Stegostoma tigrinum: one gene and its partner. The protein of the gene in region 1 interacts with the protein of each later gene in a pairwise test. Links are inferred from orthologs where the notes say so. Each region holds a gene or a part of one and is shown on either strand. Other genes may lie near its edges. The genes, in order: trip10a and arhgap12b.

What was found.
Region 2: the proteins of trip10a (region 1) and arhgap12b interact in binary tests that used the Homo sapiens proteins (3 or more experiments, as listed by UniProt). The two-hybrid records come from large-scale screens. The link is inferred for Stegostoma tigrinum from reciprocal best matches to the Homo sapiens genes TRIP10 and ARHGAP12.

The regions. Positions count from the first base shown.
Region 1 is NC_081388.1:18,477,900-18,481,815, reverse strand, and holds the start of trip10a (cdc42-interacting protein 4 homolog), read left to right. Parts: upstream 1-1,597; 5' UTR 1,598-1,837; coding exon 1,838-1,861; intron 1,862-3,916. UniProt on the Homo sapiens protein: Required for translocation of GLUT4 to the plasma membrane in response to insulin signaling. Required to coordinate membrane tubulation with reorganization of the actin cytoskeleton during endocytosis.
Region 2 is NC_081355.1:127,968,121-127,972,036, reverse strand, and holds the start of arhgap12b (rho GTPase-activating protein 12b), read left to right. Parts: upstream 1-1,238; 5' UTR 1,239-1,447; intron 1,448-3,916. UniProt on the Homo sapiens protein: GTPase activator for the Rho-type GTPases by converting them to an inactive GDP-bound state.

The DNA of each region.
Region 1 (3,916 bases):
CTGAAGGGCATTAGTGAACCAGACAGGGTTTTTCCCCAACAACAAGTTCATGGTCATTATTAGATTCTTAATTCTAGAGATTCTATTGAATTCAAATTCCACCAGCTGCTGTGGCAGGATTCAAACCTGGGTCAGTAGGATGTTATCTGGCTCTTTGGATTACCACTCTAGCAATAATACCATTAGGCCATTGTCTCCTCTTAATATTTCTGAAGTGAAGCTGAATTTTCCTTACCGCACCAGACCATGTAAACATTAACTCAATGAGATCAAGAAGTAAAATACTGCAGTTGCTCGAAATCTGAAATAAATACAAAGAGTGATGGAGAAACTCAGTGGGTTTGGCAGCATCACTGTCTCTGATTTGACTCTTTTGGAGAAGATTCACACCAAGCTCAGAATATTGACTCTGTTTCTCTCTCCACAGATGCTGCCAGAGACCAAAAGTACTATAATAAAACAAAGGAGCATGAACGGTGAAGATCTGAAATGAAATTAGAAATTGCTGGAGAAACTCAGCAGGTCTGGCAGTATCTGTGAACAGATCTCAGTGTCTCTGGTTTGACATACTGGACTCAAAACCATTAACTCTGTTTTCTCTCTCTACAGGAGCTGCCAGGCCTGCTGAGTTTCTCCAGCGATTCCTGTTTTTGACCAAGAATACTATACTTTGCCCCTTTAACAGTGCTAGCCTGCACACCTAGCTGTAGGCTATGTGCGGTGAGGGTGCTTGCTGTGTTTTCTAAACTGCAGCAGTATAGTGTAGTAAGGGAGCAAATTACTGCAGAAGCTGGAATCTCTACTGAAAACAACAAATGCTGGAGATCTCAACAGGTCAAGTAGCAAGCTAACGTGATGAGTATGGATGACTCTTCATTAGAGCTTAAGATGCTCTGATGAAATGTCATCTAGACTCGAAACATTAGTTTTTCTGGTAATTACCCTTCTTCAGAATACCCAAAACGTTGACTGCTCCTTTCCTCCAGATGCTGCCTGGCCTGCTGTCTTCTTCCAGCCTCCAGTTCACCTACTTTGGATTCCAGCATCTGCAGTTCTTTTTGTCTCGAAACGTTAGCTTGCCGCCTCTCCTGAATGCTGTTTGGCTGTGATTTGTTGTTTCTCAATGTGATGGTGTTCCCTTTAACAGCACCAGCTATGTACGCCTTGCTGCAGAGTGAGTGCAGACAGGGTGCTTGCTATCAGAGATAATGGGGACTGCAGATGCTGGAGAATCCAAGATAATAAAGTGTGAAGCTGGATGAACACAGCAGGCCCAGCAGCATCTCAGGAGCACAAAAGCTGACGTTTCGGGCCTAGACCCTTCATCCTCTGATGACCTAGACCCTCTGATGAAGGGTCTAGGCCCGAAACGTCAGCTTTCGTGCTCCTGAGATGCTGCTGGGCCTGCTGTGTTCACCCAGCTTCACACTATTATCTAGGGTGCTTGCTATGTTTTGTAAAAGAGCAGTATGCATTGTAGTGGGGGTGTTCCCTTTAACAAAACCAGTCATACACACCTTGCTGCAGACTGAGCGCTTGCTATGTTCTGCAAAACTGCAGTGAGGCGCCGTTGAGCTTTTACAGAGGCGGAGTGGTGACGCGGGATTGCGCAGCGCAGGGAAAGTCGTGGCTCAGAATTAACCAGGGGCTGGAGAAATGTTTACACTTTGAAGGATGCCAGGCACCTCATTCATATAGAGAGGAGTTTCTGCAATCAAATTCCAAATAGAACAAGAGACGGGACCAAGTGAGAGGAGAAAGAAATTAACATAGAGTCTGCTGATCAATTCTCTCGTTTGTTTCTTCCCAGCCTGAATTAAAGGCGAAGTTAAAAATCATGGAGTGGGGTTCGGAGCTTTGGGTGAGTGTTACTTTTTAAAAGATATAACCTGAGAGATCCTGGAGATGCTGATGGCGGGGATTTTTTTTATTAAAAAAGACGCTAGTCGTGTTGTATTTGGGAAGAATGAAAAAAAGCGAGCGTTTCCGATTCACTTCCATTGAGAAACGAGCTGAGAAAGTCCTTTTCTTTTAGCAATTTTCCCAATTATCTTCTTTAAAAGTTGTAAGAAAAGTTTTTCTTCGCTGCTATCTCGTGTGTGCTGGTGCTTCTGTTGCAGCGAAGGGAAAAATGTATTTTAGTCTTTCCTTGCCAGGATAGAAAGGGTTAGCTCTCTCTGTTCTCTGTGTTGTTTCAGGATTTGGCTCTTTTTAAGTTGGGAGCGATCGAGTTTCCAAACTTCTCCCAAGTGCATGTTTGTTGGGGGCGGGGGTTGGTGAAGAGCAGGAAATGCCCCCTCAGTCCTCTGGCCACCCTCCCTCCCTCCCCAGGCCAGTTTGTTTTTGTTTAAATGCTATGTCCCATTATCAATGTCTCAGTGTCCGTTTTGTTTGCTGTTAACTAATGTGAGAAACACACACACACGTATTTTGCAATTTCTTCCAAACAAAAAGAAACGATTTGTGTTTAAAGCCCCCCCACCCCCCCCCCCCCCCCCCCCCGCGTTACACAGGCGCTTCCCAGTCCTCACGGATGAATGGGACATTGAATAGTTACAACTGCTGGATTTCGACGTTTCTGTCTGGTGGGGAGGGGGGAAGTGTTGGTCCTTACAATTTTCTCCGAGCCCAGTTTCTCTCCTGCAGAGCTTTGCGGGGAGAAACCGATAAAAAAAAACCTGTTTGTGTATGTGCGTTCCCTTTTTTTTGTACCCTCCTTGCTGTAATCCGCAGTGCAGGAGCTGAGAATAGCAATTGAGAGATGTATCTTTACTGAGGCTCACCTTGACCAACCCAGTTTTAACAGAACATTAATCAAGGCTGTTGCTGGGTGAGCTCAGGGTGGGGGGTGTTCTGAGAGCTTTGTATTTGGGTGTATCCGCTGAACCGGAGATACGTGCAATTGTTTCTCCCTGTAATCATAGCACAAAGAGAGCCCTTTCAGCCCGTCCTGCCTGCGCAAGCTCGTTTAAAATGGCTATCCATTTACTCACAGGCTGCTTCCCCCCCACCCCCCCCACTTGAGAAATCGCAGGACCAAATCCGTTGCAGAGGTTTCACTGGGATTTGTACTTTTTTGTCGTCATTGTTTTTGGTCAAATATCTGTATAGCAGACTTTAAGGGGGTGGGCGGGCGTGGGGTGTTTATTAATGTGTCTGTGTGTTGTCTTGCTCCTCTATCTGAAGGCATTGTCAGGTGGGCTACAGTTTCAGTAGGTAGTACATTGTATTTAGGGCATGATACAGGCCATTTGGCCCAACTTCCTTTGACCCTTTCACGGGATGAGAGCATTGCTGGCAAGACCAGGCCATCCCTAATAGTCCCGGAGAGGGTGTTGGCAAACTGCCTGTTTGAATGGTTGCGATCCATGGTGGTTTAGCACTGTTTGCTGGTGATGTCTCAGGGCTTTGACTCAGGAACAGTGAACGATGTGGCAGCAAATTAGTTCCAAATCAGGATTGTGAGAGATTTGGAGGGGAACTTGGTGGTGTTCCCATTTATCTACTGCCATTATGCTTTGAGGGGGTGGAGATTATGCTTTAGACGCTGCTGTCGAAGGAGCCTTGGTGACTTTCTGCAGTGCATCTTGTCGATAGTACACCCTGTTGCTACTGAGTATCGTTGGCGGAGGGAGCACGCTCTGGAGGTGTGGTGCCATTTAGGCAGTCTGCTTTGTCCTGGATGGTGTCGAGCTTCTTGAGTGTTGTTGGAGCTGCAGCCATCCTGGGAAGTCGGGAGTATCCCGTCACACTCCTGACTTGTGTCTCATCAGCTCTGAGGAGTCAGGAGATGAGTTACTCTTCACATGGTTCCCAGTCTCTGACCTGCTTTTCTAGCCGCAGTATTTAGATGAATGGTCCAGTTCAGTTTCAGGTCCATGATGACTTCCAGGTTATTTATAGTTGGGGAAGAAAG
Region 2 (3,916 bases), on another chromosome or scaffold:
AAGAGGTTGAGTAAATTAGGATTATTTAGATTAGAAAGATGGGGGTTGAGGGGGCAACTGTTTGAGGTCCACAAAATAATGAGAGGTGGATACAAGAAGCTTCTTCCCAGAGTGGGGGGACTTAATTACCAGGGGTCACGATTTCAAGGTGAGAAGGAGATATGGGAAATTCTTTACACAGAGGGTGGTGAGTGCCCAGAATGCGTTGCCAGCAGAGGTGGTAGAGACAGGCACGAGAGCATCATTTACAATGTGCCTAGACAGATACATGAATGGGCAGGGAGCAGAGGGATACAGATCCTTGGAACATAGGCGACAGGTTTAGATAGAGGATATGGATCAGCGCAGGCTTGGAGGACTGAAGGGCCTGTTCCTGTGCTGTATTGTTCTTTGATCCTGCTTCTTACTAAGGTCCAAATACGGCTGGTTTAGAAGAAAACTCACTCACTAGTTCCAATTAGACATTGATCCTGAGACCATACAGCTATTTCTATTTTTTTCACTCGTGGGGCACAGGTGTTGCTGGTTGGCCAGCATTTATTTCCATTCCCTAGCTACCCTTGAGAAGGTAACGGTGAGCCGCTGCAGTCCACGTTCCGTCTGCTGATCCACAGTGCTCTTACGACGGGAATTCTAGGGGGAAAAGAAAACATTTGCCCATCCAGCCTTTCTGCTATTCAATACCATCATGGCTAATCAGGCTATGCTCTTAACTTACCCACCTGCTTCCATAACACTCGACTCCCTCGTACGTGGTTACAACTCGCTGGAGCAACACCAAGAAAATCGAGCCCCGTCACTCATGAAGTCTTCACAAAAGTTTTGATAAGCGTCTTTCGATTCGCGGTGATCGTCTCCATTGCTTCACAGACATGCACACTCAAAGCCAACATGTGCTGGACGGTGTATTTTTCTGAGGGGCGGGGGTAAAGGAGGCGGGAGTGACTCGCTATCCTTCACCATGATAAACTTTACCTTGCAAGCCAGCGGCTGCCGCTTCCTTCCTCCCGCTCACCCCACGGAACCAACACTGCTTCTGACAGCCGAAAATGGTCGTTGCTCGGCAACCACCTCAGCCATACGCACGCGCAGACTATCCTGAGAGCTTGCAGAAGGAGAATGGAAGGCTTGAGGAGAAGAGGCGATGTGAGGGGCGGGGCGGGTGAAGGACCGGCGCTGTTCGGGACGAAGGAGTGCGTACGTGCGCGCGGGTGGTTGGAGATGATCGGTGGGTCGTGCACGCGCGCTGGTTGGAAACGAGGCGCAGTCTGGTTTGTTCGACGGCCGGGGGGGTGGGGGGATTAGTACCATGACATACAGTAACAAAAAAAATCAGATCTGTAAGAGAGACTTCAGTTTACAGACATTAAATAAGGTCTCCAGAAAATTAAACGTTCTCCTTTCGCCTGTTTCTTTCCCCGGCTGTTGCGGTCATCGTCCGAAGCAGGTGCGTGATTTTTTTTATTATGTATTTGTCAAAGTTTGGAGCGTGAAGTGCATTCGTAGTGAAAAGTTTCTCTGCCTCGCTGTGCTGTCTGTCCACTAATGATATGGTCGCTAATACGAATTGATCGCCTTCCGTTTCGCTGTGGAGTGAGCAGTGTGTGGGTGGTGGAGGCCGGGACCGGGGCCTCGGTTAAAGCGAAGGAGGAAGCAGTAACCACAAGGAAACCTCAGATTTACCCAGTGGCCGCCCTAAACCTTCATAGATCTGACACAATAAATCACAGGGAAATCACCTGCACCGTGACAGACTCAGTGCCCTGACCCCTCAAAGACACCAACTCCATCCAACCACCTCACAGTTCACCCATCGCCTCTTGTCCGCTTCCACCCCCTCAATTCAGCCTCTAACTCTCATAAAACTGCTAATGCCTCCCAGTCCCTAACCTCCACACAACCCCATTATCCTCTCACCCACTCATACTCATCCCAACCGTGACACACAACCTCCAAATCGCCCCCCTTGATGCAGTCTTATTGGCCCCACACAACAGTCTCCCCCCTCAATCCACACAGCCGCATACTCCACAACTCCTATCTTTGTCCATTTCCCCGCACCATGCTCAAATGCATCCCTCCTCTACCCTCCCAAACATACTTGTTTTGTATTGACCGATATGGTTTGAAGGCTGGAGAAAGGAGTAGATTTTCTCTGTATACGGAATGATCATTTTCCTCTTTGCGTTGTTGTTTCATCTATGGAGCCACAGGGGTTTTTCTTTGCTCATTTGCATTATCTACGGTTAAATTTGTATTTGTGAAAGAAGTTATTGCTCTCCTGAAAATTGTAATTGCTAATTTCATGCAGGGCCAATAATTTACATTTTGGTTTACAAAAACCTTGCCTTATTAAAACAGCTGGAAATTTTTACTGATCAGGAATGAATTGCTTGTCAAGTTATTACATGACCCAGGGACACTGGTACACAATTTTTTTTTTACATTGCAAGTTTGTTATTTTATTTTCCCCCAAGATGCCTCCCTATGTAGTCAGCTTGATAGGGAGCTCCTCCTCACTGTGGACTTAAATTCTTGGCCAATCTCTGCCACACTTGGCCCACTGTAAGTTCCCCTGACTGTAATAGTAGACAATTAGCTCTAATGTCAAGGTAATTGCTTGTTTCAATTGCTATTCCCACATCCCCAGCCACAGGTTCACACTGGATTCCCTCCAGAAGCATGGAATTGTTATAGCACAGAAAGAGGCCATTTGGTCCAGCATGCATGCACTTTCCCTTCAAATGAGTGTCATAACTAGCCAATGTCCTACTTTTCCCCATTATTTTATCTTCGAGTGCTGCGTATTCCTTCAAATTCCTGAAAATTCTTGATTAACACTGCACTTCAACACTGAACAGCACAGGTTTATGTCGCAAGATGCAAATACTGTACTTGTGATTTGTTGCTCTGTTGCTTATGTTTCACAGTAATTATGATCAGTGTCAGTCTCCCCCTAATGCTGCTTTGGAGGGTCTCAGTCTCTTCTGTGTTTTGTTTTTGTTCTGGTTTGTCAGCATTATGTAAAGTCTGGTTACTACCCAGCAATGTACCACCTTGGACTGGCAGATACGTTGTTACTCCCAGGTCATGTGATGGCCTCTAACTTTGCCATCATCTTTACACTTCAACTGATCTATAGACCTCCTGGATCCTCACTCCAGCAGGAATTCCTGAGCTTTCTGTGATGCTGCTTCATTCTTTTGCACACTATTCCAAATTTGAAGAAGGGTTCATCAGTACTCTCTACTGATTCGATCAACTTGTGTCAGCTGTACCCCACTACAAGAATTATGGCTTTGACTTATGACTGCTATTATTACCTCAGCATTCCCTGTTTGTTCAAAAACAAAGTTGCTGGAAAAGCTCAGCAGGTCTGGCAGCATCTGTGTGGGAGAAAACAGAGTTAAAGTTTCGGGTCCGGTGACCCTTCCTCGGAACTGGACCCTAAATGTTAACTCTGTTTTCTCCTTCACAGATGCTGCCAGGTCTGCTGAGCTTTTCCAGCAACTTTGTTTTTGTTCCTGATTTTTCAGCAGTTCCTTTCATTTTTATTCCCTATTTGTTGCTGTTACATACGAGCTAACTAACAATACATAACCTGCTGACATGACAGAAGCTTTCCCAATATTCATTTGCATGTGTTCTTTACTTGATTGCTCAGTTGTGCACCCAGTGCTTCTTTCTACTTTGTTGTTTCCTTTTGTCTTTAAATTTTTTTTCTCTTTGCCAAACCTATACACTGTTCGTCTGTTATTAGACCTCCTTTCATTTCTGCTCTTTCAGGTACTCTGCCTTTCCCAGACCATACCTCAACCCTTCAGATGTCCCTATTCTTCTGCTGGCATCCCAGACTTGACTCCATCTGAGGTTAGCCAGCAATTTTTCTGTGTGCCTAACCTCCCATTTTTAAAAG